Linked DNA regions of Cricetulus griseus. The protein of the gene in region 2 interacts with the protein of the main gene of each other region in a biochemical or structural test. Links are inferred from orthologs where the notes say so. Each region holds a gene or a part of one and is shown on either strand. Other genes may lie near its edges. The genes, in order: Ttyh3, Yap1, Shank1, Josd2, Trerf1 and Slc9a3r2.

Region 1 (3,500 bases), about 45 Mb from region 2:
GGCTGGGGATCGTCCTGCCTGCTCTAGAACCTTCTGTATGCATGTGGGATGATCTGGTAGTACAGGTGACAGCTCTGCACCTGGCTCCAGTTCATAGTGCTCCTCTGGCAGGTGTGGGACACGGCTGCGGCCCTGAATCGCACAGCAGAGCCCAACCTGCAGAGCCTGGAGCGGCAGCTAGTTGGGCGACAGGAGCCACTGAGGGCTGTGCAACGGCTGCAGAGCCTGCTGGGGACGTTGTTGGGCTACACCGCTGCCATCCCCTTTTGGAGGAACCCTGGTGTATCACTGGAGGTGCTGGCTGAACAGGTGGACCTCTATGACTGGTACAGGTGAGCCAGGTGGGGTAGACCCTTCCCCCTAGGGTCCACCCCACCTGGGTAGAGCATCACCCTCCTGGACCACTTTGTACAGAGTGGCTGAGGCCTTATAGGTTGCTAGCCATAGCAGGAATCCCTGTGGGAGGAGGTGCTATCTTTTTCAAGAACTGACATCAAATCAGACTTGGCAGTATACAGCCATAATCCCAACACTATGGAGTCTGAGGCAAAGGGGGCTGGGAGCACCAGGCTAGCCTGGGCTAAATGTCAAGACCCGGCCCCAAAAGACATAAGTCCCAGGCTGTTTACCCAGCCCTTATCCATGCCTGGCCCCTGTGTGTATCCACAGGTGGCTGGGGTACCTCGGCCTGCTGTTGCTTGATGTCATCATTTGCCTCCTGGTGTTGGTTGGCCTCATCCGCAGCTCCAAGGGTATCTTGGTTGGGTGAGTCAGAGGGGAAGGTGGGTCCCTGTGGGCCCATGGATAGACGGATGGGGTAATGGTGTGGGATAGCATAGCCCTGTATCCTGTCAATAAAACCCACTTGGCTCTGGCCATGAGCATCTCCTAAGGGCAACCTTCCTCTTTGAGATGCCATACTGCTGTGACCAGTGTTATGAGCTACTTGCAGGTTTATGGTTATTAACTGTGCTCCTCCCTGGGAGACTCTGCACAAAGAGTACTTATAGCCAGTGGCCAGGTCTCTGAAGTGGTGGGGGACACAGGCAACCTGGCTGGGTTCCAGCCCAGCCAGTTCGGCTGCTTACCTTGTCAGCCAGCTTGAACAGTCGACCCATAGGTGCCAAACCCATCTCTAAAAGACAGAAACATGTCAGCTTGCCAATGGGGTGGCTACAAGAGGATGTCACTGTCCCCCCTGAGCAGTCACCTCTTAGTTACTATTGGATCTGGCACTGTTGAGCCCCCATAACGCTCCAGCCCCTGCCAGGGGCACCTGCATGCCTCCCAAGGATTGGAAGATAAACAAACATGCAGAGGCTGAAAGTCAAGTGATGATGCTGAGTTGGGAAGCAAAGTCAGAGAGCAGGCACTCTTCAGTGTATGTGTGTGTCCTGAGGGGTTCCGAGAGAGAGCGGGCACTCTTCAGTGTGTGTGTGTGTGTCCCGAGGAGTTCCAAGAGAGAGCGGGCGCTCTTCAGTGTGTGTGTGTCCTGAGGGGTTCCAAGAGAGAGCGGGCACTCTTCAGTGTGTGTGTGTCCTGAGGGGTTCCGAGAGAGAGCGGGCACTCTTCAGTGTGTGTGTGTGTGTCCCGAGGAGTTCCAAGAGAGAGTAGGCACTCTTCAGTGTGTGTGTGTGTGTCCCAAGGAGTTCCAAGAGAGGGGATAGTAGGACAGATGCATGTAGGCTAATGTGTAGGCCTGCAGCTCAGTGTGTGTAGAAGAGCAGGGGACCCTGAGGGAGGTAAGAGCCAGCCATGCATAGGAATGGGTGGCACTGGCATAGTTGCAGGGCTTGATATGATCAAGGTCTCATGTAAACAGGATGTATGAGACCGAGGGTGACACAGGATCTTCTACCCAAGCCTGGGTTGCTGTCACTTGTCCCCAGCCGTGCACTCACTGGGTGAGTCTCATCCCAGCCAGGAGGAGCATTTGTGCAGGTCCAGAACTTGAGTGACTCTGAGACCTGGTCACTGGAAGACTTACCATCCTGTGTGAGTCAGACCCACCCAGGCCTTAGGGGCCTGGCATTTTGTATTGCAGCTGTGTGTATGGTATGCCCCCTATCCCCTGTTCCCATCCTGATGGGCCTTCTTTGCCCCAAGGGTCTGTTTGCTGGGTGTCTTGGCCCTGGTCATCAGCTGGGGTGCACTGGGCTTGGAGCTGGCCGTGTCTGTGGTGAGTGGCAGGGGAATCAGGAATCCCCATCTGATGGGCTTTGGGAGGAGAAAGCCACACTTCTATTCCCCCCTCATCTTGCCCTGGGTCATACAAATCCATGCTCCCTGTATTCCACTCTGCCTCCCTGAACTAAGGGCAGACCCTGGGGGTAAGGGGCAAAGTCTCCTTGAGAACTCTGGGTGGTCATGGCTGGCTTTTGAGGCCCAGCTTGGTCACCTGTCCTTTCTTGCCTCACCCATTTCAGGGCTCCAGCGACTTCTGTGTAGACCCTGACACCTTTGTGACCAAGATGGTGGAGGAGTACTCAGTACTGAGTGGGGGTGAGTCTGTGGCTATGTGTGGGGCTGAAGTGACCTAGGACAGCAAGGTGGACAAGGCGGAGGCATTCCTGCCCTTATAAGCCTTTGACCTCAGGGAGGCATGGTATGGGTCAGGAAACTGGTACCCCAGGTTGCTTCCAAGTAGGCAGCCAGGGGGAGTCTGTGTCTCTAGTGGATGTCTGAGGCAGAAGCCCAGGCTGTGTTAGTGAGGCAGCTAATTGGTAACAGAAGGTGGGAAGCCAGGAGGCCTGGCCACAGTTGGGAGTATGGGCTTTCGTGAGTGAAGACAGAGTCCCAAGACATGCGATAATCCTTGTAAAAGCTCCCTGAGCTTGGGCACAGTACACACCAGGAATCCCTGTACTCGGGAAGCTGCAGTGGTAGAAACTTGAGTTCCAGGCCAACCCTGGTGAAACTGTCTCAGAAACTCAAAAATATAAACAAAAGCTGCCTGGGGCTACATGAAGAGCAAAGGAAGAAGGAAGCTGTTAGAGCCACAGGCCCTAGATGGCGGGGGCAATGGAGGCTTGAGCAGGTGGAAGTGGGCATCGATGTTCCCTCAAGGTGGGACCAGCAGGGCTTCCTGACACACTGGATACAGGAAGAAAATGAGGAGCGGTATCCCTGGGCCTACAGCCCCTGCACTCCTAGAAACTGAATGGAACGCAGAACCTAAGGCTGAGTGTGGGTGCTGGCATAGAGCGCCCACTCCCATTGTCACTGCTTCTGAGCAGGAAGACCCACCCCTGAGTGTCCTGCACACTTCAGGGGCCCCACTCTGAGGACAGGATCATCCACAATCTCCCTGGAGGTCACTGCTCAGCCTCACATATATGCGAAAACATACATGCACATGTGTGTGAATGCATGTACATACAAGTATGTGCAAGCACGTGGATACAGATATGCATGGTTTGCAAGCATTGGCGTGTGTAGATACTCAGACACAGGCAGGCACACTTGAGGACAGTGTGAATGCATGTACTTGCATGTCGGCA
Region 2 (3,500 bases):
GAAGAACTATTTCCTGCAGGAAAACCTGCAGAAGTGCTGAGGTATAAAGAGAATTGATTCTTTTAAAATAAAAACTCAAAATGCTGTGGTGAAATTGGTTTCAAACATTAAGTTTGGTGACAAAGATATGGCATCTCCAGTGACTAAGGCTTTTTTTTAGTACAGCATACTCTCTAGAGTCTGGGTCCCTGTCCGGGACAGAGGTGCTTGTACTGCAAATACCACCACCACCACCACCTCCCCACCCCACCCCCAGCCCCGGTCATTTGCCAATATAAAGTTCAAGGCTCTAGAGCTCACTGGCTTAAGGACAGGCTTTAACACCAACCATGGTAATTAGGTGGCCTTGAAAGTGGAGGATGGGCCAATAGACTTCAACACTCATTTGAGGTCACAAGGCAACAATTAGCTGTCCCCAAAGTCACTAATTCTCCCAGATCTCTCAAGTTACAACACCTTGACAACTTGGACCATTTGTGGTCAGAATTCCACGCCCCCCCCCCATGTATAAATCTCAAGAAATGACATACTTTGTCCCAGTAAATACCTAAAAAGATGAATGGAAGGTTTAGTTTTCATGCTGGCATGAGCTAGAATTCAGAAACTAGTTCAGATCTTCCTTCCACGACTGGCTGGCATCCTTTTGAAAGGTTTTTGTTACAGTTATGTATTTATGCACCTGTGTGTGCATATCAAATGTGGACGCACCACAGTTCTGAGTTTGTAATGTGTGAGGACAATCTGAGGAGTCAGTTCTCCCCTTTCATCATGCGGTTCCTGGGGCTCACACTAAAACTGTAAGCTATATTCAGGACCTCACACGAGATGGGAAGAGAAATAGATTCTAAAAACTAAGATAAAAATAAATTTTGACACAATAGCTACTTGGCATCAAAGCTTAGTTTACCATCATCATCTCTGACTCAGTGAGGGCAGATATTAATTTCATTCATCTGTTTGGTGCACAACAGCTCTTTCTCTTTATGGTAACTACACAGTACACAACAGCAGGGGGAAGCCAGCAATGGAGAGAAAGTTCTGTTTCACATCACTTCTCCAAACCGCATATTGTTCATAAGGCGTTTCCTCTTCAGAAAAAGCAACTTCATAAGACTACCCACCTCCTACATTCAGTTCTCCACAGGATCTTTACCACACCCAGTGACTCAGCTCACCTGCTGTGAGGGCTCAAGTCACCCCTCAGGGGTGGGTGACCTTCTAGGAGCATGATGTGGAAAAGCTTACAGAACCCTAACCCTCATTCATCATAGAAGCCGCCCCAACTTCCATGGGCAGCCTCAAAATCAATACTGTATTCTCAGACCCTGCCAGCATTTGCTTCCTAGGCCAAGTTTCCTCAATCCTCCTATGGCAAGTCTTAGTTTGGTGTGGTTTACCATCTTCCTAGCCCCCACGAAAAATAGGTGAGAATGCTAAGCTGGGGTGGAGCTAGTGTGGAGCACCCCTCCTCAAACCTACATACCCAGCAGTTACTTGCCATAGGAAGAATTATAGAAAAAAAAAAATTAAGAGAATCTACAAAGAGGCTTATTTCAGCTCAGAAAAGATCACTCCCTCAAATAATGAAGATGCAAACAGATGTCACCAACAAGCAATTTTAAGAAAACACAAAAGAGTAAAAGCAGCATAAATGTTGCTCTTTAACCTTCGGCTCACAACCACAGCCACAACTGAAGGCCTGCAGGCTATTAAGCTGTTTAACATCACCCCAGGTCACCACAGGACACAGCAGGGAGGCAGTCAGGACTCCAAGTCTTTCTTTTCCTCCCTAACAACCTGGTTTGTTTCCCCTCCCTTCTCCTTCAGGACACACAGCCCCCCTCTCCCAACCATCTACTTTGGAAGTCTGCTTAGAGAATAAATGATCTCGCTCTGGTGGATGAGTTTGCCAGGCTTATATGTACTTTCCAGTCTCAGGCTCTTTATTGTTCTCCTTGAAACCTGACCCCTTGAAATGAGTACCAGAACACCAGAAAATGTTTTTGTTGTTGTTGTTGTTGTTGTTGTTTTTAAAGCCTTACAGGAAAAAATGGCAACAAAACAAAAAACAAGGTGTGTTGGGGGCGGGGGGGGGGGGGGGGTTAGAGGCTTTCCAAGATCAAGATCAAATCTCTTCCCTTGTCCTCCTGAACTGCAATGTCACAAAACTCTGTATCCTTACTATAAAGCAGTAACTCAAGCCTTTAATCCCAGCACTTGGGAGGCAGAGGCATGCAGATCTAAGTTGGAGGCCAGCCTGGTCTACAGAGCAAGTTCCAGGACAGCCAGGGATACAGAGAAACCCTGTCTCAAAAAGCAAATACACACAAAGTAGCAACCCACCCAAGACAATCAACTGAAAATACAGACCGGGTAGGGGTGGGGGGTGCGGGGTGTAGCTCACAAACAAAACAAGGTTGTTACTGGTGTTCTCTGATCCAATAAATGAGGCTGCATTTACTTGAGACATCTAAACAGATCTGCATCAAAATGAGCATTGTTCTTCACATCAGCATCTCAGCCCAATTAACCAACTCAAAGAGCAGAACAATCCACAGTCTGTAACAACCAGTCTGAGACAGTTTGCACTCTAAATTCAAACAAGCCCTAGAAAATTAGATCTACCTCCAACTTCAAAATTTGAGGGGATAAAATTCTATTTTGTCCTTTTCAGATGGGTGTTATTTTGCCATTTTGTTAAAAACAAAAAGACTGGGCTGAGGGATACCCAGTGGGCTTGCTTCCATTTCCCAGAGAAGGTACAGCCTGAAAAGTGTGCATGACTGGAGGCCAAACTTAACAACTGGTGTTTTCTTCTCATTTTGAGGGAAAAAGCTGTTTAATGGCATCAAAAGGCAGCTTTAACTGATTGTTGTTTCACAAGGAGTATTGTAGAGTCACCTCTTCCCCAAGTCCTACTTATTTCCTTCTCTGTCAATTATTTATTTGGTAAGAATATACAAGGTCCTTGGTTCAAAACTCAAGACATATGAGTATATGCAGGGGGAGAGGCGGGCAAGGGACAACACACACACAGAAAATATAACCAGTGTCAGTCTTGCTATTTAAAATTTAAATTTTTCATGGCATTCTGTTTTGTGCCAGGCTAATTAACAAATCTGGCACAAACTCAAAATGAGATTACCCCATATTGCCACAAAAGTTTGCAAAAAGGCTCTGAGCCAAGAATAAATAGGCTTTCAAGATGACCAACACTAAAGCGGACACTCCCATATATAAAAATGGAGGACTGGGGGGGTGCCGTTCAATGGCAAAGTATGATTGTTAACCGATAAGGCCGAGTTCCATCTTTAGCACCAGCAAAGTGCCATTCCTGCACTGCCACCTCCCAGGGTTACCTTCACTTACTTTAAGAAGTATCTCTGACCAGACGATGTCTTGGCCATCTCCCAGCCTGCAGGCAGGGGTACATCATCAGGGATCTCAAAGGAAGACTGTCGGAGATGCTGTGCTGCAGGGGTGGCTGCAGGACCAGACAC
Region 3 (3,500 bases), on a different chromosome or scaffold from region 2:
TGTTTAAATATTCACCAAACCAAGAGCTTTCTTTCCCTTCCCTGAGGCTGGCACCATTTCTGATTCGTCTCTTTTCCTCAGAACCTGGCACCAAGCACACAGTAGGTGCTAAAGAAATTCACTTGGAAGAAATGGAGACGGAGGATGTGGAGCTATCAATCAAAATTCATTTGCTCAAGTCACTCAATTATTCATTCATCTGTTGAGTCATTCAATCTGTCAAAAACAGCAGCCACCTGCCAAGAGTCCTGAGCCCAGAGCTGTGCACAGTTCAGGTGGAGACCCACAGCCCCATCATTCATTCAATCAGTCATGCATTCATTCATCTCTCACTGCACACAATGGCATCAGGAATACTGTTTCTGAGGGCTTGGGACAGAGCAGTCTGTGAGATTCTGTCCCGGTTTTGAGAGAGACTCACAGTGTAGGACTGGTCCACCAGCAGGGGCTACATGTTCATACCACTGGGCCAAGATGACAGACAGCAAAGGGTGATGGTCAGACCCAGCTTAGATAGGTGGATGGATGGACAGATGGATATATGAATAGATGGATGGATGGGTACAGGGATAGATTCATGGATGCAAAATAATTACTATTTTCTGGGGGTTTGGTGCAGAATCAGAATCTACCAGAATTTGTCCCAACCCTTGAGAGGCTCACAGCCTAGGGACCTTTGCCAGCAGGATGGATGGGTGGGTAAATGTACGAGTGGACAGACAGATGGACAGATGGGTGGATGGATGGATGGATGGATGGATGGATGGGTAGCTGGGTGGATGGTTAGATGAACTGGTATATGAAGAGACAGATGAACAGATAGATGGGTGTATTAATGGATGGATAAATCAGTGTGCGGATGGATGGATGGATGGATGGATGGATGGATGGGTTGTTGGGTGGGTGAGTGGGTGTGTGAATAATTGTGTATATGTGTGTGTGTGTGGTAGGTGGGTGTACTGACGTCCATAGGTAGCATGTTGGCTAGGATAAGCACAGAGAAGACTGGGTTGAGAAGTGGAAGATGAACTCACATTTGCTAAGCATCTATTCGATCTGATAGCAAGCAGAGTGTTCACTTGCTTGATCCTTTGAAGGATATTCATGACTGACCCATTTCACAGATCGTGGGAGCTAAAGTAGGGGAGCTAAAGAAGGCAAAACAATATGCTCATCTGGCCCTCTTTGGGGAATAGTGGATGCTGTATAATTCTCTGTACTCAATTTTCCCTGCTCAGATGAATGCCAGCCTTCTGACCGCATCCTGGCAATTGACACTGGCGATGATACTAATAATAACAATTATTATCACGGCTGTCTTCTAGGGATGAATACTTAATGTACACAATCACTCATCCCTTTCAATCAGCTGACATGATTCTCATTTCGGGGAGGACAAAGCCCCAGAAAGTGGAAGGCGCTTGTTCAAGGGTCTTCCTGGGTGTGGGGGGCTGGGGCTTTTTCTCTCCCCACCAAGCACCTGCCTCAGAGCCAGAGGTCCTGGCACAGAGGCCTGCATAAGGAGCAGTAGAGAAGGCAGTAGTACTTGGGAAGGAAATGCCAGCACCATGTTGCTGGGTTTGAGGAACACCAGTCATCTCTTGGCGTTGAGCATTCTGCTCACTGCCACAAGGCAGCACTTGGATACCCGCCATATCCCCAGCACTGAGAGTTCTCAGGAGGCAGAAGGGGCTGGGGCTGTTTTGGAAGACTTCCTGGAGGAAGGGAGGGCAGATCAGCAAGTGCTGCCCTCCCTACCCTGAAGCCCCCCAAGCAGCTCTTCAAGGACAAGAATCTCAGAAAACCTGGGGAGAGAAGAGGCTGCAGCTCCAAGGGGCCTGGCTCACCTGGAGTCTCTTGGTACTCAGATGGCAAAGGGGTCTTAGCCCTTGCTGGCAGCTGTCCCACTTGGGGAGACCCTTGCCTCCTTTATACAGCCCATCTTTCCCCAAAATTCCTGGAGAGGGACCCTCCACAAAACATTACTGAATATACAATATCCCCAGGCTGTACTTTTCTCATTCCTCTGCCCCCTGCAAAGGCTCCACCTGCTCAGCCCCTTGTCTTTTACACAGCTGTGCTCCCCTCCCGGAGCACTCTTTTTTCCCTCATTTGCTCCTGCTGTCTTGACATCATTCAGAAAGCCACCTCCACCCAACTCCAAACACGGCTCCCAAGGGAACATGATTCTCCATAACTTTACTGAGCACCCAGGATTAGACCAGAAGCTCAGTATAAAGCTTGGAGCCAGACACAGAGGAGAAGCTTATTAAACTCAATGGACAGATGGGTGGATGATGGCTGGCTGGCTGGAAGGTGGGTAGGTGGATGGATGGATGGATGGATGGATGGATGGGAGATGGGTGGGTAGGTAGCTGGGTAGACAAAGATATGGATAAGTGAGTGGATAGGTAGATGGATGATGACTGGATGATGGATGAGTGAGTAGGTAGGTGGATGGATAAGTGGATAGGTTTGTAGATAGGTGGGGGTGGATTATAGATGGATGAGTGGATGAATGAGTAGACAAGTAGATGTACAGAGGGATGAATTTGTAGATGTATAGATGAATGGGTGGAGGACAGATGGATGAACGAGTGGGTGGCTAGATGGGTGGATGATGGATGAATGAGTGGTGGATGGATGGATGGATGGATGGATGGATGGATGGATGGAAGGATAGATGGGTGGATGATGGATGAATGGGTGGTGAGTGGATGGATGGATGGATGGATGGATGGATGGGTAGGTAGGTGGAAATGGTGAATGAACAGAAGTTGTAGGAGGCTTGAGTGAACTTGTGTGAAGCATAGGCCTTTGAAGGGGCAGATGGATGTTGCTTGGGCTGACCTTGTTGTAGAGGGCACAGATGTGCAAGGCTGTGTTTCCTGAGGCATTCTGGGCTCCAGGCTCAGCCCCATAGAAGAGCAGGTGTTCCAGGTGCTGAGAGTGGCCCCGTTGGCAGGCCTGGAGGTACAGGGAGTGCGTAAGCCTGATTATACCTCATCTGAATCCTTCCAAGGCTCTCTTCCTTGAGGTCAGAGATCTGCACCCACATCCCCTCTCTGTAAGGAACTCTGCCATCTCTTTCGCATCCCAGCCCCTTGGATGCTTTGTACTAAATCTGAATACCTGGTGGATTTCCTGCCAGCCGTTCTCATCTGCAATGCCCAGTTGGGCCCTGTTGTACAGAAGTAGCTCGCAGCAGCGGGGGTCGCCCCCCACCATAGCTGTGTGGAACAGGGGTGTCAGCCCTCGGCGGTCCTTGTAGTTGGGAGAGCCCCCAAGGTCCAGAAGTGCCTAAGGAGGACAGATAACTCAGGAAGAAAGGACAGATGGCAGCTCTAATTCCAAGGGGTTGTTAGGGAGGTGAGCCTTGAATGACCCATGCAGGCTCATACCTGTCTCATTTCCACTCCAATCTCTCCCTCTCTCTCTCTCTCTCTCTCTCTCTCTCTCTCTCTCTCTCTCTTTCTCTCTCTCTCTGTGTGTGTGTGTGT
Region 4 (4,038 bases), on a different chromosome or scaffold from region 2:
CCAGCCCCTCAACGTTTTGTTATTTGCCTTTTTGAGTCAGGGTCTCTATATGCAACCCAGGCCAGCTTCCAATTCAGTTTTGCCTCAGGTCAACAGGCTGGTCTCACTACTCTTAACCCCATTTCCTCAGTCATGAGTCACTCATGTCACTTGGACCCCCCACAGAATACCTTTCACTGGTACCAAGTTTATCAGTTTAGCTCATCAGTCAGTCAGTCAGTCAGTCAGTCAGTCAGTCAGTCAGTCCCCATTAGCCAGAGGCTCTCTGGCAAAAACCTCCCCCATCTACCTTCAAGTCACCCTCTGCTTCATCCCACAAACCCAGGGCCAGTGTAGCCCACAGCCTAGGCCCTACCTCCTCCTGTCCCACCACACAGCGGCCAGGCCCAGGCCTTGCAGGGCAGCCATGATCACGTTGACATCATAATTGCCGGTGCCCAGGAGGCTGCGATGAGGGTTCAGCCGGGAGTCTGGGGCCAGCCTGGGGGTGAAGGGGGCAGAGCCAAGGTTGGGAATCCTGGAAAGGCCTTCAACTTCTCACACAGCAGGAGAGGCCCAGAGCCTGGCTTTTGGCTCTTTCTCTTTAAGCCCCACACAGCTCATTGGGCTCTAAGCCCTGTTTTTCCTCCCATTCCCAACACCTGTACTCTCTGCCTAGCTAAAGTTTTTGTCTTTTTCCACTCAGAAACCCTTCCCAGTCTCTAGTCTCTCCATCCGATCCACCTCCAAAAGCCTTGAGCTGCCTGCCTCTCTCCTACTCCCACCTCTCCCATGACTCCCAAGTGCTCTGGACAAAGTCTCTGCCCTTCCATCTGCCCTTCTCATCATGGCCTCTTTCCAGACCAGCCTCAGATGTCATTTCTTCTGGTAGAGAAGCCATCAAACCCCCAGAATGGGCACAGAGCTCCCCTGAGTGACAATGCCGCTCATGTCACCATATTTGAATACAGAATGCCTCTTTCATTTGGCAATACCCTGCCCTACTCTGTTCACAGCCCTCCCTGGTGCCCCAAATCCCGGGGACAGACTCTCACCTCCTCCAGTGGCAAGTGGTTCTTGCATAGCCTCAGCACCAGCTCTTACCAGCCACCTATCTCCAGCTGTCCCTGTGCCCAAGCCTTCCCTCTAAGCTCTCTCCAGATGTGACCCTGTTCCTCTGAAGAGCTGGCCCCTTGGAGAGCAGTGACATGGAGGGAACCACTTGTGTTTGCTCTGTGTCCCGAGCCTTCTCCTCACTACATCTGCCTTAGCTCTAGTTGTTCAGCATGCTCCTGGCATGACAGAGCTGGTGGCAGGGGGATGGATATCTCCTAACATAAATCTACAGTCTGAGGGTGCTGGCTGAGCAGCAGTGAGAAGATGTGAAGGCTGCCTCTGGATGTGGACATGAACTGCAGGCTGGGGTGTTGGCGTATCTGTGAAAGGATTGTGGGGCCTAGAAGTGGGACTAGGAAGAGAGTTTAAGAAAGTGATGGTTGAAATTCTGAAGGGCACCTACGTGACCAAGAAGAACAAGAATGCCTGGGTAAGAGCTCAGAATCACCACAGTGGGGTCATCTGGGGCCAAGGAGAGTAGTGAAGGAGAAGCTGCAGACTGGTAGGCAAGGACCAGAGCACCCAAAGCCTTGGAGTTCAGGCTGAAGGACCTGGGCTATTCTCTAGGAGTGCCAGGGACCCCCAGAGGAATAAATGCAGAGGAGGGGGAAGGCAGCTGTGGGGCTGTGTGTAGGATGGTCAGGAGGAGAAACACAGACAGCTGGGAGGCTGTGACAAAGGCTCAGATAAGAGAGGTTGAGGCCAAAGCTGGGTTGAGGCTGTGAGAAGCAGCAGGTGGAAGGGCAGACATCAGCTCCAGGATCTGCGCCCCGGCCTTGTTAGTGCCCAGGCAGGCTCCCATGCCCCTCAGCCCTGCTCTTCCAGGGCCAGGACCTAGGGCAGTCACCTCTTGCAAATTTCATCTGCAGCTTCCTGGCTAAAGAGCTGTTGTTGGAGGACGTTGTTGAGAGCGTGGACCGCGCACAGCTCTAGCCGCTGCCGCTCGTGGTACACTGAGGGTGGGCTCGGCCGCGCTTCCGGGGCCTGAGACATGCCCTCCTCGGCTCCTGCTGGGGGTGGTACAAGGAGAAAGTGTTAGGGACCCAGGATCTCGGCCATCTGGGTCTCCAGACTCCTGTGTCCCTGGGCAACAGCCACTGAGATGGGCACTGGAGCCAGCTTGGGAGGAAACGACCCAGCTACCTAGGCTGTCTCCGAAGCGTAGAGGCATCTTTATGCCCTAGTCCTAGGGGGAAAGGGCTCTTTTTTGCTCACTTGGCAATAGAGATCCACCCCCACTTCATGTCTCTAAGCAAAAAAAAGTCCGGATCACTATAACCTAGTAACGAAGTATCGCCCCTTCTGTCCCTAGGAAACAATACCTTTTTGGTTCCCAAGCAACAGAGTACTCCCCACCCGCTTGGTAACCGGTCCGATTTCTGATCACCTAGCAATGGAGGACTCCTCCTTCCCCGTCTCTGGGTAACAGGGTCTCTTCTGGTCGCCTAGCAACGAAAGACTTCCCCTCATCAATAACCAGGGTTCTCTCCTCCCGTCACCTGGCAACAAGGCCCTCTCCCAGTCACTAAGCAACAGGAGCTCCCCTCTTCCTGTCACCTGGCAACCAGGCACGCTCCCACCCGCCTCCGCACGGCACTCGCTTGGCCCTCACCCCGTCGGCCTCTCTGCTCGCTGGGACCGGCCGCTTTCTCATTCCCTGGGTAGCGGCCGAGTGGTACCACGCTGACTGGGCAGGCAGGACGGACTACAGCTCCCGACCGCCCGAGCACTCCTGACTGCAATTCCCGAAGGCCTCCGAGGCGCCTAAATAGGACGCGCGGTACGGAAGTCCGCCGGGGACGCTCTGCAGCGCGGAACTACAACTCCCGTCGGACCACACAGCCAGTTTTCATGCACCCCCAGGGCTCACTGCAGTCTAGAGGTTTCTGGGAAATGTAGTAACTGGGGCTCTCGCGATAGCTTCCAGGAAAATGGTTTGTGCGTATGCTCGTGCGCTCGCTGCTATGGCGTCACACACAGTGTGTTGAAGCGTGATGTAATAGAGTTAGGGGATAAGGAACTAAAGAGGCCAAAGAGAACAGCCGACAGAACTCTGATGTTTACTGAGACACACAGTGGTCGAGGTGACAGCAAGGGCAGCGGGGGAGACTTGTCAGCAGAGGTGAATCCCAGGTCTGGAGGGGAGCTGGCAGCAGCCTGTGGGGAGAATGAAAGACTAGAATGACCACACAGACATGCAAGCAGCCATGGCGGCCGTGGGCTTTGAAAATGATAGTGTAGTACAACCCAAAGAGGATACTCAGAAAGAGATGTGGGGTGTGGATGCAGAGACAAGAGGGGGGCTGAGACTCAGAGAAAAAGAGAGACCTGGGAGAGAAAACTAAGGATGGGCAAAGACAGACAACCGGGGTGGGACATCCGACATGTGAGTTCTGCAGGGCACAAAAGTCAAGGGACTCTTGGAGAGGTCTGGACGCACCCAGTAGGCTGCCCCAGAAGGCTGTGACAGTAGCAGAGCCGGTGACAGCGCCAGGCTGGGCTGGGTTCTCTCTGTGGGTGTGCACAGCAAAGCTGTGGCCTGTGGGCCCTGGGGGGCCTTTCAGCTCCACGTCCACCACGTGCATGTCTTTGAGGCTGCAGCCAGCGGAGAAGGGTAGTTAGTACATCTGGCCTGTACACAGGTGGGCCACTTACTTCCGTTGCTCACCTAAGGTCAGCCACAAGCACCCCAATGACACGGTCGAAGCCTAGACTGGGGGCAGCCAGGGCAGCAGCTGCCATGGTGTTAGAATTTCGGGGGGCCAAGGGGCAGAGCCCACGCACAGGGCCCTCGTAGAGCACTGTGCGCGGCCCACTGATGTGTGCTGCAGCCAGGGACCCCTCCAGTCGGAAGCCATCAGGATGTGTGGCCATGGTGACTCGAAGGCTCTGGAAACAATGGCAGGGTCAGGAAGCTGAGACTCTTACATGTTCCCTCAGTTG
Region 5 (3,500 bases), on a different chromosome or scaffold from region 2:
GTGCGTGCGTGCGGGGCGCGAGCCCCCTCCTGCCCCTCAGTCGTGGGCCCTGCATCCCTCGAGAGGGAATTGTGTCTCCTGCCCGGAGCATGTGTGGTCTGTCCCTGCAGGGCGGGCAGTGGGGCCACTAAAGAGCCACTCTGCTGGATCCCCTCAGAACAGATGGAAATGTAGTGATAATAAGACAGAGGAATTTGAATTTATGGCTTCTCACCGACCCGCTCTACCCTTTGCAGACCTTCCGGATTTTCTTTCCCAACCAGCCCAAGGCCGATGTGGTGGGAGTGGGGAAGGGGGGTGATGAGCAGAAGGGAGACAGTCTCTCCCCCACCCCCTTAGAATTTTCGAGATCCCTGGCCAACCTGTGGAAAGGGGCCACGGCAATGACAGAAAGGGGCTAGTGGCTGCGATGTCCAAGTTTGAATCCCAACTATTCCTCTCACTCTAGGAAATCCCACGGAAACACCATCCAGCCGTCACCGCAAAAGTTGAGGAGCCCCTCAAGACCCTGCCGGAGAAGAAGAAATTCCGGCACCGGCCCGAGCCGCTCTTCATCCCGCCACCGCCTTCTTCCTATACTCCCAACCCCACCTCTTACTCGGGGGCCACCCTGTACCAGAGCCAGCTGCGCTCCCCACGCATCCTCGGGGACCACCTGCTCCTGGACCCGGCCCACGAGCTGCCCCCCTACACACCGCCACCCATGCTGAGCCCGGTGCGCCAGGGCTCAGGGCTCTTCAGCAATGTCCTCATCTCCGGTCACGGCCCAGGAGTGCACCCCCAGCTGCCCCTCACTCCCCTCACGCCCACGCCACGAGTGCTGCTGTGCCGCTCCAGTGAGTCATCCCTTAACCCCTGCTGTCACCCCTGTCGATTCTGGATACTGCCCTGAGTGGGTGGGGAGTCTCACTTTCTTCAACTGGCTAGTTGAAGTATCGGTTATGTGTTCCAGATACTTTGCATGTTAGGTGTTGTTAAATTCTCAGCATCTCATTTAGTAGCTCAAGGGAATTGTTCTGAGGAGAAAAGTAAGTGAATCGTCTTTGGGGTTTAAAAAAAAAAAAAGGTGGGGGGGGAAGCGTACACACTAAGACCGCCTTGGGTGGTCAGACAAGATGCTTAAGATATTTAACAGATGTCAGGGGCGGGGCTTTGGGTGTTATAGGCAAGAGCAAATCTTAATATTTAGCATGTTTATAAAAATAAAAATATTAAAAAATAATATAAAAATTAAAGAACCAATCATGAACTCTGTAGGCAGTACACAAGTGTAACTCCAGCTACTAAGGAAGCTGAGGTAGAAAGCTAGGGAATTCAAGGCCAGCCTGGGCAGCACATGAAAACTCCATCTCCTCAGAGCTGTTGAGCACAGAAGGGAGAAGAGAGAGATCTTTGTAGCTAGGTTTCTTTCTGGTTGCCTAGAAACCATGTAGCAGGACAACTTTTCCTCACACTATGTGAGAAACAGTTATCTTGCTCCTGTAGTCCCAAGCACTGGGGGGCTGTGGCTTAAAGCTGGCAGATAGGAAGTTCAAAACCAAATTGAGCTAAACATCAAGACCCTTGTCAGGGGGCTGAAGGAGGAGGAGGAGAGAAAGAAACAGAAAACTGCATGTATCCATGCAGTCCTCTGGAAATTGGTTTAGGTTGTCTAGGAAAGAGCCTGGTTATTGCTGATTGGCTAATTACTGGTCAGCTAATTGCTCATTGTTCTCATGTCTTAGGAAGTTTTCTTTGTTGACCAGTAAACCCTAGTTTCTGTTTCAGGCAGCATCGATGGCAGCAATGTGACAGTCACCCCAGGACCTGGAGAGCAGACTGTGGATGTTGAACCGTAAGGAAAAGCCAATTATTCTTTTTCTTTTTTCTTTTTTTTTGGGGGGGGGTTGGGGGGTCTTTGAGACAGGATTTCTCTGTGTAGCTTTGCAGCCTATCCTGGCACTCGCTCTGGAGACCAGGCTGGCCTCCAACTCACAGAGATCCACCTGCTTCTACCTCCTGAGTGCTGGGATTAAAGACGTGCGCCACCAACGCCCGTCCTGAAAAGCCAATTATTCTTTAGAGCACACACCTGAGATAAGGAATGGTCTGGAAGCTTCTAGAAGGTCAGTCAGTACTTCTATAGTCAGTGGCCACTGAGAGGGGAGAATTGTGGAAATGGTAGGAACATGGCTTTTCTTGAGTACTACTGTTTCCTTATAGCTGCTAGCATTTCAGAGTCTTTTCTTAGGACTATTAGCATTCCCACCTCCACGGGCCAGTTCTAAACTCTAATACTTTCATATCCCCAGGGACACTGAGGCCTCTCTCTTTTTTTTTTTTTTCTTTTAATTTTATGTGCATTGCTATTGGATCCCCTGGAACTGGAGTTAGACAGTTGTGAATTGCCTTGTGGGTGCTGGGAATTGAACCTGGGTCCTCCTGAAGTGCACTCAGTGCTCTTAACCCACTGAGTCATCTCTCCAATCCCTTGAGGGGTTCTCTCTTGGAGGTGCTTAGCTAGAAGAGAATCCCATGCCAGTCTTCCAGATGGGACAAGAGGTTGTTCACACCTGAGGCGAGGTGGACTGGCTCGGGATTCCATCACATTGCTTAAAATGTCATGAAAGTAAGGTCTGGATTTTTCCATCTAATATTTTCCAACATTAGTTGATCACAGGTAACTGAAAGCCAAAGAAAGCTGTAGATAAAGAGGCACTACTTTACTGTGGAAGGGAAAGTGGTTCATTTCATGAATGAACTTAGAAAAGGGGCCTTGTGGTACAGAGCTTTAAAGAGTCCGGAATCAGAAAGTTTGAGTTGACACCATTCTGGTTTTGATCTGTACTGAGTCAGTTTCCTGAGGCCTTCATTGGTTCCCTGAATGGCAATCGTGATTGCTGCCAACCAACCAACCATGAATACTGCCTTGTTCATATCACAGACCTCTGTGAGCTTAGATGACATAATATATGTGAAAGAGGTTTGGAAGGGATAAATACATAAATATTTTACATTGTTGCACACACGTAGCCCACTTCCAGTTCTGTGTTCTAGGCAACTCCTCTCTTGGAATTAGCTGTCTTCCACTCCAGTTTCAGGGAGCTGAGAATCTCCAGGCAAACGACTGCCTTGCCCCTTCCCCTGTCCCCAGCATTAAAGCTATCTGTACTAGTGAAAAGGCCTGGACTTGGAGGGCCCTGCCACAAGGAGATGCTCTGGCATCCTTCTTTTAGAAGGAACTGCTGTCCTGTGTCTTCAGTTCCTGACAGTGGCCCCTGGCCTAGGCCATCACAGTGAAGGCTGCACTGTTTTTCTTGTCCTTAAAGACGCATCAACATTGGCTTGAGATTCCAAGCAGAGATCCCAGAACTGCAAGATGTCTCCGCCCTGGCTCAGGATACACACAAGGCCACACTGGTGTGGAAGCCGTGGCCTGAGCTGGAAAACCAGGCCCTCCAGCAACAAGGTACTGACACTTAGGAGGAGCAGGGTGGGTGAAGCTGGCTGCTCTAGCAGGA
Region 6 (4,008 bases), on a different chromosome or scaffold from region 2:
AGCAACAATGTATCTTCAGCCTAAGTGCCTTTCAGGGGCAGCCACTAGGGTGTGGGTACCCAAGGGGCTGCTGCCTATGATTTTGCTCAGAGGCGGTCCTGGTGCTTGGGTGGAGGTGGAGAGCTCCAGCTAAGGGCTCCGGAAAGAGGAGAGGGAGAGGCAAACACTGAACTAGGGCTGCATCTCCTATCCACATGGGGAATTGTATGAACTGGCTATACCTGATCCAGGGGGACCAGGTAAGTGAGGAGCAGTGGGCTGGGGAGAAGCAGACTGTAGGTGAGCCTGGATCTCAGCTGCCATATGTGCCTGAGAATATACTTGCAGGTCAAAGTGCAGTCTCACAGTACTAGGCTCCAAAAAAGGTTCAGAACCTCCCTTTGCCAGGCCTCGGTTTCCTGATCTGTAAAATGGCCTCTTTCCTCCGGGGTTGTTCTGAGGGTAACTGTATAGGAATATGCATAAGTGATTCTCTGAGGGACTGCTGTCCCGCAGGTGAGAACTTACACAAGTGTAAAAGTAAGAGTTTATGGGGGATAGAGGATGGGAGACCTGTGGGGTTTAATATGGGACAGCTGGTCACCACCTAGAGCTCAGGAGCCAAAGTTCATCCTTAGCAGAGATCATACCAGGTCAAGAGGAAGGCAGCAAATACCCTTGCATCTCTGCCAGATAAACTCATGTTCCCGAAAAGCAGGGACTATGGGTTCAGGATGTTTAGTGAACAAACACTTCCTGGGAGGGGCAGGGGGTCACCTAGTCACTGGCATGTCTCTTTAAATTTGTATTTTGCCTGTTGCACTCTGTGTTGGGGATCTAAATTCAGAGGGCAAAGAGGGAGCGGCCAGAGCAATCCCGGTGCGGTGCGTAGAGGTGTATTCCGAGGAGGGAGAGCAGCGGCCCCTGTTCTTGCCCTCTGGTCTCTGTGTAGGGGTCCTTTCTCTAAGCTCCCTATTTCAGGAACCTCTTCAATGTAGGGAATGTAGGGTATGCAGGTGTCTATGAGTGGTTCCTGGAACAGAGGGCGAAGGTGCTTCGGAGGGTGGCCAAAATGGGATGACATAGGAGTCCCAGGGCTCGGGGTTGTGACCCTGCAATCTTCGCTCCATGGTCTGGGCTCCCAGGCAGGGGCCTAGCTAGCGGGGCTTGGGCTAGGGCGGGGGCAGCCAGGAGGGCGGGGAAGGGGCGGGCGCGGGGGCGGCGCGCTGCAGCAGGAGCAGGAGCAGGGGCCAGGGCCAGAGCCGAAGCCGGAGCCCGAGGCGACGCGAGCTGAGCGGGAGCCACAGAGGCCGCTGCCTGCTCTCCCGCCCGCGCCTCCGCCGCCTCCGCGCTCCAGCCTGCGGGGGTGTGAGCCGTGGCCAGTCGCGGCCAGCCAGGGGGCAGCGGGTGCCATGGCCGCGCAGGAGTCGCTGCGGCCCCGCCTGTGTCGCCTGGTGCGCGGCGAGCAAGGCTACGGCTTCCACCTGCATGGCGAGAAGGGCCGCCGTGGCCAGTTCATCCGGCGCGTGGAGCCAGGCTCCCCAGCCGAGGCGGCCGCGCTGCGCGCCGGGGACCGCCTGGTTGAGGTCAACGGCGTCAACGTAGAGGGCGAGACGCATCACCAGGTGGGTCCCTGCGCTGCGCCCCGCCCCCCGGCACCCTCCTGGGGGCGCGTCCCTACAGCGCTGGCCAAGATGCCAACAACCCCCACTTCTGCGTGCCACATGGTGGGACCCGGCCAGGGTCGCACAGGGGCCTGCCTGGGTTCGGTGTTGAGGTGTGGGACGTGGCCGGCCAGCTGGCCTCCTGGTGAGGAAGCTCAGTCCTGCACTAGCGGGGGAGGGAGGACATCCTGGTAGGGAGGGGCCGCACTGCGGCTACTCTGGCCAGGGCCCTGGCTGCTTCTGCTAGTTTTGGCCTCTGTGTGCCATGGAGGGGGAGGAGGTGGCTAAGGCACCTTGTGGCCTTGTGGTACAGATGCTTTTCTGTCAATGTGTGAGTGCTTGCAGGTCTCTCTGGGGTCATCCATATGAACACACTACCCAACTGTTCCAGGATGAAAGCATTCAGTGTCAGTGCTGGAATGTGTGTCTAGGGTTGGGTGGATACATCAAACATGTATGCCAGCTGTGTGTGTGTGTGTATGTGTGTGTCCGTCCATCTGTCTGTCTGCATGATTGGATATACTGGTGTACTTCTCTCATGGGCCCTTATGTCTGGGTCTGGCAGTCAGCACCATGGCAGTATACTTCCTTGGTGTCAGAAACAGCCTCCTCCTGAGAGGCTGCCTGGCCCTCCCTGTATAGGTCACTGTTCAGCTCTTGCCTTCTGTAGCCAGAGGAAGGCTGTTCTCTCCTCAGGTTTTACCTCTGGGTGTCTGTATCCTGCTGAGGGGTAGACACACCTCAGACCTTGGCTAGGGCCCAGACTTCTTCCACCATTTCTGCCTGGATCCCTGGTACCAGCATGTCCATGACCTACCTGTGTGGTTAGTCTTGGAGCCTGGAGAAGGCAGGGTGGTACTTCACTGGGCCATGAGGGAATTCCTGTCTCCCTCAGGAACCTGCTTTCTACCTACAGTGACCACTGGATTTGGTTGTGTGATGAAGAGTTTGGGATGGAGCCCAAAGGTTGGCCCACAAGGCAAGGTAGAGACCTGCAGGGTTGGTGTCATCTGCCTCTAGCAGTTACTGGAATCCACCTGTTTATCGCAGGTTTCTGGGGTGCTAGTCCCTACAGACTTTCACGCAGAGCCACATTCGATCCTTTCTCCTGCTCAGGAAGATAGGAGGTAAAACCATGACTCCTATTTTACTGACTGGCTCCGTTCCCATGCCAAAAGGTGTCAGGGTGCTGGGATCCTGTTCTATTGGTCACAGGGAGAGAGGATGGTCATGGAGGGGCCAGGTGAAGGTGGCTGTGGGTCAGACCTTCCTATCTGTGATAGGATAGCATGTACTAAGTGAAGTAATGATGGGGATTCCGTCTCTTCAGCCGCAGGCCTTGGTGCAGTTGTTAATGCTTCCTGCCCTTCAGATGTCCGGTGGGCATGTCTCCCTTTGAACTCAAACTAACATCCTGCATGATCCATGGTAGCCCACATGCTCTCCACACTTCACAGGCACCCATCCAGATACACAGATGGCTGTCAAGCCACACCTCTTACACTGTTGTATCTGCTACTGTTCGCCTTACCTGCTGGAGTGGGATCCTGCTTACCTGATATTTCTGGCACCTTAGGTAGAATCTCTAGTTCTTCACCCCTTTGCAGGTGCAGCAAGAATGGGTTTCTAGTCCTGGTCTGGAGGCAAATTGGAGTTCTAGAGATTTCTGGGTGTTAGATTCACACTGCATCTCAGAGAAAGAAATAAACCCAAATACTCACATTGGGGCCATGTAGCCCTCTCCTACACCTAGGCGGAAAGACAGACTTTAAAATAGATGCACATACAGACACACACACACACACAAAAGCACACACATACAGATAAGCATGCACACACACATGCATAGACTAGACTGAAATCCTGAAGCTCAACTCAATCGTTTCTGACTCTTCCATCTGGCTGCTCCTGGCATCTCCTTCCTGTCCTTACCTGAGCTTGGTGCAATGCCACAAGAGGATCCTGAAGTACTTGCAGCCTGGGCCCTAGCTCAGGGAGAAGAGGGAGGGAGCTACTGGAAACTGGGGGTGGGGGGTGGAGCTCGCAGGCCTCTCAGTCCAGCTGCCCACCCCTGGCAGGCCAACCCCTGCCTGCTGTCTGTGAGTCGTGCTTTGCCAAGAGTGGCGCCCTTTCGAAGTGGTGCCCTATCCATGTGTTGCCCAGCGTGTTGGCTGCTGATCTAGTCCTGCTACCCACCCATTCCAGGTGGTACAGAGGATCAAGGCTGTGGAGGGGCACACTCAGCTGCTTGTGGTGGACAAGGAGACAGATGAGGAACTCTGCCGGCGGCAACTGACCTGCACTGAGGAGATGGCCCATCGAGGGCTTCCACCAGCCCACAACCCCTGGGAGCCAAAGCACGACT

The links.
Region 1: the proteins of Yap1 (region 2) and Ttyh3 interact in a test that uses a peptide from one of them, tested with the Homo sapiens proteins (2 studies listed by BioGRID and IntAct, with this or other methods). The link is inferred for Cricetulus griseus from reciprocal best matches to the Homo sapiens genes YAP1 and TTYH3.
Region 3: the proteins of Yap1 (region 2) and Shank1 interact in a test that uses a peptide from one of them, tested with the Homo sapiens proteins (2 studies listed by IntAct, with this or other methods). The link is inferred for Cricetulus griseus from reciprocal best matches to the Homo sapiens genes YAP1 and SHANK1.
Region 4: of the proteins of Yap1 (region 2) and Josd2, one has a biochemical effect on the other in vitro, tested with the Homo sapiens proteins (2 studies listed by BioGRID). The link is inferred for Cricetulus griseus from reciprocal best matches to the Homo sapiens genes YAP1 and JOSD2.
Region 5: the proteins of Yap1 (region 2) and Trerf1 interact in a test that uses a peptide from one of them, tested with the Homo sapiens proteins (2 studies listed by BioGRID and IntAct, with this or other methods). The link is inferred for Cricetulus griseus from reciprocal best matches to the Homo sapiens genes YAP1 and TRERF1.
Region 6: the proteins of Yap1 (region 2) and Slc9a3r2 form a complex in vitro, tested with the Homo sapiens proteins (2 studies listed by IntAct, with this or other methods). The link is inferred for Cricetulus griseus from reciprocal best matches to the Homo sapiens genes YAP1 and NHERF2.

The regions. Positions count from the first base shown.
Region 1 is NC_048597.1:77,238,308-77,241,807, reverse strand, and holds part of Ttyh3 (protein tweety homolog 3), read left to right. Parts: intron 1-111; coding exon 112-332; intron 333-669; coding exon 670-765; intron 766-2,106; coding exon 2,107-2,179; intron 2,180-2,426; coding exon 2,427-2,502; intron 2,503-3,500. UniProt on the Homo sapiens protein: Calcium-independent, swelling-dependent volume-regulated anion channel (VRAC-swell) which plays a pivotal role in the process of regulatory volume decrease (RVD) in the brain through the efflux of anions like chloride and organic osmolytes like glutamate.
Region 2 is NC_048597.1:122,382,175-122,385,674, forward strand, and holds part of Yap1 (transcriptional coactivator YAP1), read right to left. Parts: coding exon 3,370-3,500; intron 1-3,369. UniProt on the Homo sapiens protein: Transcriptional regulator with dual roles as a coactivator and corepressor. Critical downstream regulatory target in the Hippo signaling pathway, crucial for organ size control and tumor suppression by restricting proliferation and promoting apoptosis.
Region 3 is NC_048599.1:153,187,677-153,191,176, reverse strand, and holds part of Shank1 (SH3 and multiple ankyrin repeat domains protein 1), read right to left. Parts: intron 3,301-3,500; coding exon 3,133-3,300; intron 2,968-3,132; coding exon 2,851-2,967; intron 1-2,850. UniProt on the Homo sapiens protein: Seems to be an adapter protein in the postsynaptic density (PSD) of excitatory synapses that interconnects receptors of the postsynaptic membrane including NMDA-type and metabotropic glutamate receptors via complexes with GKAP/PSD-95 and Homer, respectively, and the actin-based cytoskeleton.
Region 4 is NC_048599.1:153,335,043-153,339,080, reverse strand, and holds the start of Josd2 (josephin-2), read right to left. Parts: upstream 2,801-4,038; 5' UTR 2,750-2,800; coding exon 2,708-2,749; intron 2,595-2,707; exon of another isoform or gene 2,541-2,594; coding exon 2,483-2,540; intron 2,106-2,482; coding exon 1,943-2,105; intron 482-1,942; coding exon 356-481; intron 1-355. Other genes in the region: Aspdh (putative L-aspartate dehydrogenase), read right to left, coding at 2,801-2,912, 3,170-3,252, 3,480-3,690, 3,764-3,984. UniProt on the Homo sapiens protein: Cleaves 'Lys-63'-linked poly-ubiquitin chains, and with lesser efficiency 'Lys-48'-linked poly-ubiquitin chains (in vitro). May act as a deubiquitinating enzyme.
Region 5 is NW_023276806.1:256,688,868-256,692,367, forward strand, and holds part of Trerf1 (transcriptional-regulating factor 1), read left to right. Parts: intron 1-448; coding exon 449-836; intron 837-1,767; coding exon 1,768-1,834; intron 1,835-3,308; coding exon 3,309-3,448; intron 3,449-3,500.
Region 6 is NC_048600.1:44,234,673-44,238,680, reverse strand, and holds the start of Slc9a3r2 (Na(+)/H(+) exchange regulatory cofactor NHE-RF2), read left to right. Parts: upstream 1-1,208; 5' UTR 1,209-1,391; coding exon 1,392-1,604; intron 1,605-3,848; coding exon 3,849-4,008.